Linked DNA regions of Oryctolagus cuniculus. The protein of the gene in region 1 purifies or fractionates together with the protein of each later gene. This does not show direct contact. Links are inferred from orthologs where the notes say so. Each region holds a gene or a part of one and is shown in the gene's direction. Other genes may lie near its edges. The genes, in order: ACVR1 and TGFBRAP1.

Evidence for each region.
Region 2: the proteins of ACVR1 (region 1) and TGFBRAP1 purify together in Homo sapiens (co-immunoprecipitation; 3 studies listed by BioGRID and IntAct, counting the BioPlex papers as one, with this or other methods). This does not show direct contact. The link is inferred for Oryctolagus cuniculus from reciprocal best matches to the Homo sapiens genes ACVR1 and TGFBRAP1.

The regions. Positions count from the first base shown.
Region 1 is NC_091434.1:84,290,643-84,294,459, forward strand, and holds part of ACVR1 (activin receptor type-1), read left to right. Parts: intron 1-2,908; coding exon 2,909-3,184; intron 3,185-3,817. UniProt on the Homo sapiens protein: Bone morphogenetic protein (BMP) type I receptor that is involved in a wide variety of biological processes, including bone, heart, cartilage, nervous, and reproductive system development and regulation.
Region 2 is NC_091433.1:103,327,176-103,330,992, forward strand, and holds part of TGFBRAP1 (transforming growth factor-beta receptor-associated protein 1), read left to right. Parts: intron 1-1,691; coding exon 1,692-1,835; intron 1,836-2,369; coding exon 2,370-2,529; intron 2,530-3,817. UniProt on the Homo sapiens protein: Plays a role in the TGF-beta/activin signaling pathway. It associates with inactive heteromeric TGF-beta and activin receptor complexes, mainly through the type II receptor, and is released upon activation of signaling.

The DNA.
Region 1 (3,817 bases):
CTTATCACTAAAACCATAGGAAAAATTCATTCTGAAGTGTTATTTTCTACTCTGTACAAAATTGTAGTGAAATATACATGGCAGAAAATATGCCATTTTAACCACTTTAAAGGTATAGTTTAGTGGTGTTAAGTACATTGTTGTATAACCATCGCCAGCGTTTATCTCCTGAGCTATCACTTGCTCTTGAAATTACCACCTAGCTGTTTAATCAAATTCTTGAGATCAGTAAGTAAAGGAATCTCCCTAAAAAGATATGACATCAAATTACTACAATAATACTACAATCACTAACTGTTCTTGAACATTTACTATGTGGTGGGCATTGTTCCGAGCATCTTACATGTAATAGCTCTTACTCTCACAGTAACCCTTTGAAATATATGTTGTTATTATCCTTATCTTGCAAATGAGGACATTGAGGTGGAAATTTTATATGCCTTGGGCAAAATCAGCTAGCCCCAGGGTGGTAGAGCCAGTATGCAATCCTAGTAGGGTAGCTCTGAGGCCCCACAACCATGCTGTCTTACATGGTGGCCTTGTACTTGGCCTGTGAAAGCTGCCCAGGAGGTACGTTGTTCCTGGGAGCATTGCCAGTGAGAGGCTCACGAGGGTAGCTGATAACCTTACTTAAGACTTTGGGTTTTATTTGACCTCTTAAGGAGCCTAGGAGGATGACTGGTTGTTAAGTAAGAGGCTTTTGCACTAATCACTTTCTCTTCCTATTATGAACACATCCAGTGGCTATGCCAGAATTCCAACCTGAGGTAGCTGTACAATCTCTACTAATAGTAGAGCTCTTTCTTTCTTTTTCTTTTTCTGAGAGGCAGAGAAACAGGGAGAAGGGGGAGGGTGAAGAGTGAGTGAGTGAGTGAGTTCCCATTTGCTGGTTCATTCTCCAAATTCATGCAGTGACCTTGGCTGGGCTGTCTGGAGCCAAGAGCTCAGGGCATAGTCCGGGTCACCCACATGAATGGCAGCAACCCAACCACTTGAGCCGTTACTGCTTCCAGGGTCTACATTGGCAGGAAGCATGCCAGAAAGTTTGGAGTCAGGAGCAGGCTATGGGCTGTGAGCATCTTAACTACTGGCCTCAATCCATACCCCTAGCAAAGTGTTTTGACTCAAAACACAGACATTCTACATAAGTGAACATCCAGCCCTGTGAAGCAAACATAGCTATATAATTCACTCCTGAGAGAGAAACCTTTGAAAAGAGCCCTGCTTATTTAGAAGTCATTTTTTCCCCCGGAAGGAGATGGTTGTAAAGGAGATTTGGAATGCCTAGAGAGGATAAGTTGTAGTTTCCAACGTGGTGGTCAGGATTAGCCTTTTAGATCAAGCTGGATTTGAACTAAGACTCGCCAGAGGTCAGGGAGTCAGCCCCGCTCCTAGGAAGAGGGTGTTCCCTGTAAAGGGAACAGCCAGGACAGGAGCTTGAGGGACATGTTGGAAAGCGTGATTGGGCAAGGAAAGAGGTAAGCTCATTGTCCATGCAAGTCTGTAGCATAATGAACAGGACAGACAAAGTCCTTATTTAAGACCTAGGGGCCTTAGGGGAGGCGGGGGAATAAAAATTTGTTACTTGTTTACTCAGAGGCTGCTTTTCCTTTGGGGAAGAAATCAGGAGAGGCCACACAAATACGTGGCAGCAATTTAAAGTCTTTTGAGTGGTGCTTTTATAGTTTGCATTTATTTTTGAGAAAGTCATTAAAGATTAAAAGTTCCCAAGGGAAATACCAAGTATCCCCTCAGAATGTCCAGGAGAAAAATCATTCTCTCTGGGTTTGGCCACATCTGTCAGTACTTACCTTCTGTCAGGGAGAGGCCTGTTCCGTGGCCGCTTACTGAAGGGAGTCAGGTCTGACTTAATGTAATCCCCTTCCCTGGGCTCATGGTGTCCTATGCAGATGAATATTACAGATTATTGTGTATATTTTCCCCTTTTATTTATTTTTCCTTTTCTAGCCAATAAATGCTATCATCTTCGTTTTTTTCCGTATAACTGACAGATAGCATTGTAAGTGCTTGTTCTATTTGATTTTTTTTTTAATCAGTCATTTGGTATAAACTCACCTATTTATATTGTGTCCCAACAAAAGTGGCCAGAGAGCAGGTTTGAGTTACCTGATATTGCACTGTAAGTTACAGGCAGGGTCAGAATGGAATCTAAGTATCTAGGTTCCAGGTTTTATGTTTTAGGGTGACTGATGAAGGCTCTATACTTGGAAGATCAATGTGATAAGAGTTTGGCACTGTCCTTATGGGTGAGCACAAAGATTCCTGTCTGAATCATAACACAATGTGAAGTATTTTTTTTAAAGTCACTCAGGGCCAGCTTTGTGGCATAGTGGGTTAAGCTGCCGTCTGTAGTGCCAGCATCCCCTATGTGTGCAGGCTTGAGTCCTGATTGCTCCACTTCTGAAGAAGCTCCTGACTTCATGACCCAGCCCTGGTCATTGTGGCCATATGAGGAATGAACCAGTTGATGGAAGACCTCTCTCTGTCTCTCACTCTCTTTCTGTAACTGTCTTTCAAATAGATAAAACAAATCTTTTTTTTTTTTTAAACCATAATACTTAGAATGGAAAGGAATATGAAAATTTCTTTTTTAAAAAATTTTATTCAAGGTATGCAAATTTCATGTATTTTATATATACAGATTTAGGGACAGTGATTCTTCCCACTCTATCCTTCCTCCTGAAATTCCCTGTTCATTAGCAGTGCCCTTTGTAAGGGATAAATGCTATTATTTTCCTCTGTTGGTGCATCTATAAACCTTCTGTCATGGCGATGGGTTAATCTTTTTTCAAACAAATGATGTCTGTTGTGTAAAGCACCATTTCAAAATACTAAAAGTTACAGTGTGGAGTTCTCACTGTGTTAATTTTGTTGTTGCTCTCTCCAGGTTTCATTGCTTCAGACATGACATCAAGACACTCCAGTACTCAGTTGTGGTTAATTACACATTATCATGAGATGGGATCCTTGTATGACTATCTTCAGCTCACTACTCTGGATACAGTTAGCTGCCTTCGAATAGTGCTGTCCATAGCCAGTGGTCTTGCACATCTGCATATAGAGATATTTGGGACCCAAGGGAAACCAGCCATTGCCCATCGGGATTTAAAAAGCAAAAACATCCTGGTGAAGAAGAATGGACAGTGCTGCATAGCAGATTTGGGTAAATTTCTTAAAGTATTACCATTTTTGCCTTTATTGCACTCCAGTGTTTAATCAAGTTGAACTTCTTAGCCTCCTAATTTGTTGTTGTAAAAAATTTCAATTGTGCATAAAAACTGAAATAACTTTGTAATGAACAACTGTGTATATACCATCTGAATGCTTCTGGTAACATTTAATTATTCTTAAGCTTTATTGCATGTCTCTCCAGCTATCCATCCTCCATCCATCCATCTTAACTCTGACACATTTGCAAAGTGAATTACAGATGAAAGAACTCTTCTCTGTAGCAACTTTAGCATGCTCATTGCAATATCTTGAACTAATGTATTATTTATTCTTTTTTCCCTTTCAGGCGAAATTTACATACTGTAAAATATACAAATCTTTAGTATATTCTCAGGGTTTTGGCAATTGCTACAAAATTCCAGTCCCTCTTGAGATACAGAATTTCCCATTGCTTCAGAAAGTCACTGCAGGCTCCTCCAGTCAGCCTCGTCCCACCGCATCCTCAGGGGCAGCCAGCACTGTTGTATTCTGATTTTACAAACATTTACACAAAGCAAGTGCATAATTAAATATTCCATGGAATGAGTTCATCTTAGAAATGGCTTCTGGAATCATTCTATAACTA
Region 2 (3,817 bases), on another chromosome or scaffold:
TTCTTAAACATAATTTCTTTGTGGTGAGAACATCAAAATCCTTTCTAATAGCTTATGTCATTTCTTTTAAATGCTACAGCAACTCACAAAGAGGTTCCTGGAGGTTTAGAAACTTTCCTACTGTCATAGCTTATACAAGGGGATTTCAAAAAGTTCATAGAAAAATGGAACTAAGAGAAAGCTTTACTTTGTTGCAAAGGAGTGGAAATCATACAGTTTTTCCGTAATACACATTTCCATGGATTTTTTGAAGACCCTCTCTACATTGAACTCAGAATTTATATTTGCAACAGCTATGCTGTCTTTCTGATCTTTTGAGGTTATGGCATGTGTGCTTTTACAAGAGATCTTCAAAAAAGTTCAGGAATAATGTGTGTTATGAAAAACTATGCATGATTCTAAAAATTTTTTACATCAAAAGAAATTTATCTTTTAATTCCACTTTCCAATCTTTTTTTTTTTTAAGGTTTATTTGAAAGAATGACAGAGAAGGAGACAGGAGAGAGAGATCTTCTACCTGCTAGTTCACTCCCCCCACCACCACCATGGCTACAACAGCCAGGTCTGGGTCAGGCTGAAGCCAGGAGCCAGGAACTCCATCCTGGCCTTGCACTTGGGTGCATGGAGCCTAAGTACCAGGGCCATCTTCCACTGCCTTCCCAGGCACATTAGCAGGAAGCTGGATCAGAAGTGGGGCAGCCAAGGCTTGAACCAGCTTTCATTTGGCATGCCAGCAGCACAAGTGGCAGTTTGTGCCACCATGCCACAATGCCAGCCCTTCCACAAACTGTGGCAGGGTAGGCACAGGATGGATTTACTTCCCTGCCCGTCTCATCAAAATCTCTCTGGAAGACAGACAGGGACCAGCACACGGCACTTGACAGGCAGGGGCAGAAGGCACAGACCTCTGGTCAACCATGTCTGGCAAATGGTCCATCAAGGAGAACTGAGCTCACTGTATCAATCTATCACTTTTATGACTGTATCAATCTCTGTATCAGTCTCTACAGTCAATCACTGTATCAATCCCAGCACTCTTGAAAGGCAAGTGAGCATCCCTATTACTGTTACAAAGCTGCTGTTGCACCATGTTACCAGTAAACGTGCCATCCCTTAGCTTCCGAGCCTCTTAAGAGACAGTCCAGTGGGTTGTCCCAGGAGGGTGTCAGTCTCGGCTGCCTCTCCTGTCTTCTGTCTGCTCCCTGGTCTTTCTCAGTGCTTCTTGATGGACTGATTTTCTCTGTCACCATAATTTTTTTAACCCACTTGATTGACATTTGAAGAACTAGACATATTTAATGTAGCATATCCCTTTTTTTTTAAAAAAAAAATTTGATTTGTTTATTTACTTGAGAAAAAGAGAGCTTCCATCCACTCCCTAAATGTCCACAAGGATCGGGGCTAGAGGCTAGGCCAAATCTAGAAGCTTGGCATTCAAGCCAGGTCTCCCCCGAGCGGCAGGACACCAGTTACTTGAGCTGTTAGTGTGTCCCCACCCCTCACCCCGCCAAGTGATTGCAGTGGCAGGAAGCTGGAGTCAGGAGCTGGAACCAAGTGTCGAACTCGGACATGGGCAACTTAACTGCTAGACCAAGAACCTACCGCAGAGTGTGAACGTGCAGGGTGCAGGATAAAGACAAAGAGAAGGTGGCTTTGAAAGCATAGTAACCAAGTCGCTCCTCCCGTTGCAGGTTGGAGTTCAGGTTTTCACCAAGAGACCTCTGGATGAACAGCAGGACAGTTTCAACCCAGACGACATTATCAGCTGCCTTAAAAAGTACCCTAAAGCCCTGGTTAAATACCTGGAACACCTCGTGATGGACAGGGGGCTGCAGGTGAGTCCTCAGAGCTCAGGCTGGGGCAGCCTGCAGAGCTCCCGCGGTGCCATAACAAATGCACCTTGACTGTATAAGCTTTTTGACGGAGGGTTCTGATGTCCCATTTTACATTCCCTGGGTGCTCAGTCAGTCCTTGTTGATGGTTTGAGGGGGACTTGAGGCTTGATGACAGACACCTTGCGTCCTAGGCAGGTTTTTTTTTTACACCCTATCCTGTGTTCTAGATTCTTTTTCTCTTTCCCTTCTTTGTTACAATCCTTAAAGGAAATGGGAAAAGCTGGGCTCCTCTGGAGAACCCCTAAACCTATGGCCCTTACTTCCCAGGGTGAGGAGTAACCCCACTGTGTATCCCCCACGGACTCTAAACTCATCCCCTCTGCGTGGAGGTGTCCGAGAAGTCTCCAGGGCAGCCACGTTGTCCACTGTCTTTGGAGAATCCAGCACAGCTCCCCCGCACAGCCCTGGCCGTGGCGGTGTGACTGCCTGCTGACTTGCAAACGCCCTGTCTGCTTGGCTCCCTGTGTCCTGCAGAAAGAAGAGTACCACACCCACCTAGCCCTCCTCTACCTGGACGAGGTGCTGCAGCAGAGGGCGTCCGCCAACGACAAGGGGGCCGCAGCCACGGAGGCACAGGCCAAGCTGCGGCAGCTGCTCCAGAAATCCGACTCGTACCGAGTCCACTTTCTGATAGGTGAGGATGGTCTCAAGTCTTCTCTCCATGGACAGACATGTGTCAGGGGACTGGGGGGTGGATGGGAGGGACAGAGAGGCAGACCATGGCCCAGCTCCGGGGTTGATTCCTCAGGGAAGGGCAAGGTGCCTCTTGCTCTCACCTCCAGAGGTGGACAGCACCATTGACTGATGACATCAGAGGTGCCCAGTAGAGTCTGGACGTCTGCGTGTCTCTTGACCATACCTCCATTCCAATTGCTCTGCTCAGCATTGAAGCACTGAATAGTTCCTTCCAGTGACTCCAGGTCAGCCACCCCTCGGTGTCCACTGGAAATTGGTTCCAGGACACCAGGCATACCAAACTCTGCACAGGCTCAAGTCCCATGGCATCATATTTGCATATGACCTGTGCACTTCCTCCTACATACTTGAAGTCATCTGTAGGTTCTTTGTAACACCCAAGTGCAATGCGCACGCTATGTCATCAGCTGTTATACTGTGTTGTCTAGGGAAGGCAGTGCAGGTATCCTAGACAGGCTCCAGGTTCCACTGCTCGGGGGTGCAGAAACCACAGTTTCTATATTTTTTTAATAAATATTTTATTTATTTGAAAGAGAGAGAGAGAGAGAGAATTTCCCATCCTCTGGTTCACTCCCTAGGGCTGGGCCAGGCACTTTATGTCCTGGCTGGGCCAGGAGCCAGAAACATTTTGCAGGTCTCCCACCTGGATGGCAGGGGCCCGAGTATTTGAGTCATCTGCTGCTGCTTTCCCAGGCACATTAGCAGGGAACTGGGTCAGAAGTGGAGCAGCTGGGGCTTGAACTGATGCCCGTATGGGATTTTGGCATCCCAGGCCGTGGCATCATCTGCTGCGCCAGTTCCCATAGTGTAGAAGGGACCATTGAGCAGGTGGGTACTCACACCTGGTAGAACAAAAGAGCTTTTTGGCTGTCCTTGATGACATTGAATTTTTGGGTTTGTGCTTTGTCGAGGGTAAGTCACAAGTTTCTCTTTACCAGACAGCGGCTTTACCCGCTACGCCACAGCACCGGCCCCTGTTGATCAGTTTTTGGTCTCCCAGCTTTAGGTACAGACAGTGTGTCCAGTGTACTCTTGTGCATTGAGGACATAAAGATGGGTGAGACTTGCATCTAATCCTCAGTGTAATGGGAAGACAGAGGAGGCCTGAGGAAGTTGTAGACAGGACAGGGGCCCAGAAGAACTTCCTGGAGGAGGTACTGTTTGAGCAGTCGTAACAGGCAAGTTTGCATGAGCGGGGGAGCTTGCAGGCCATGGTGGGCACTGAA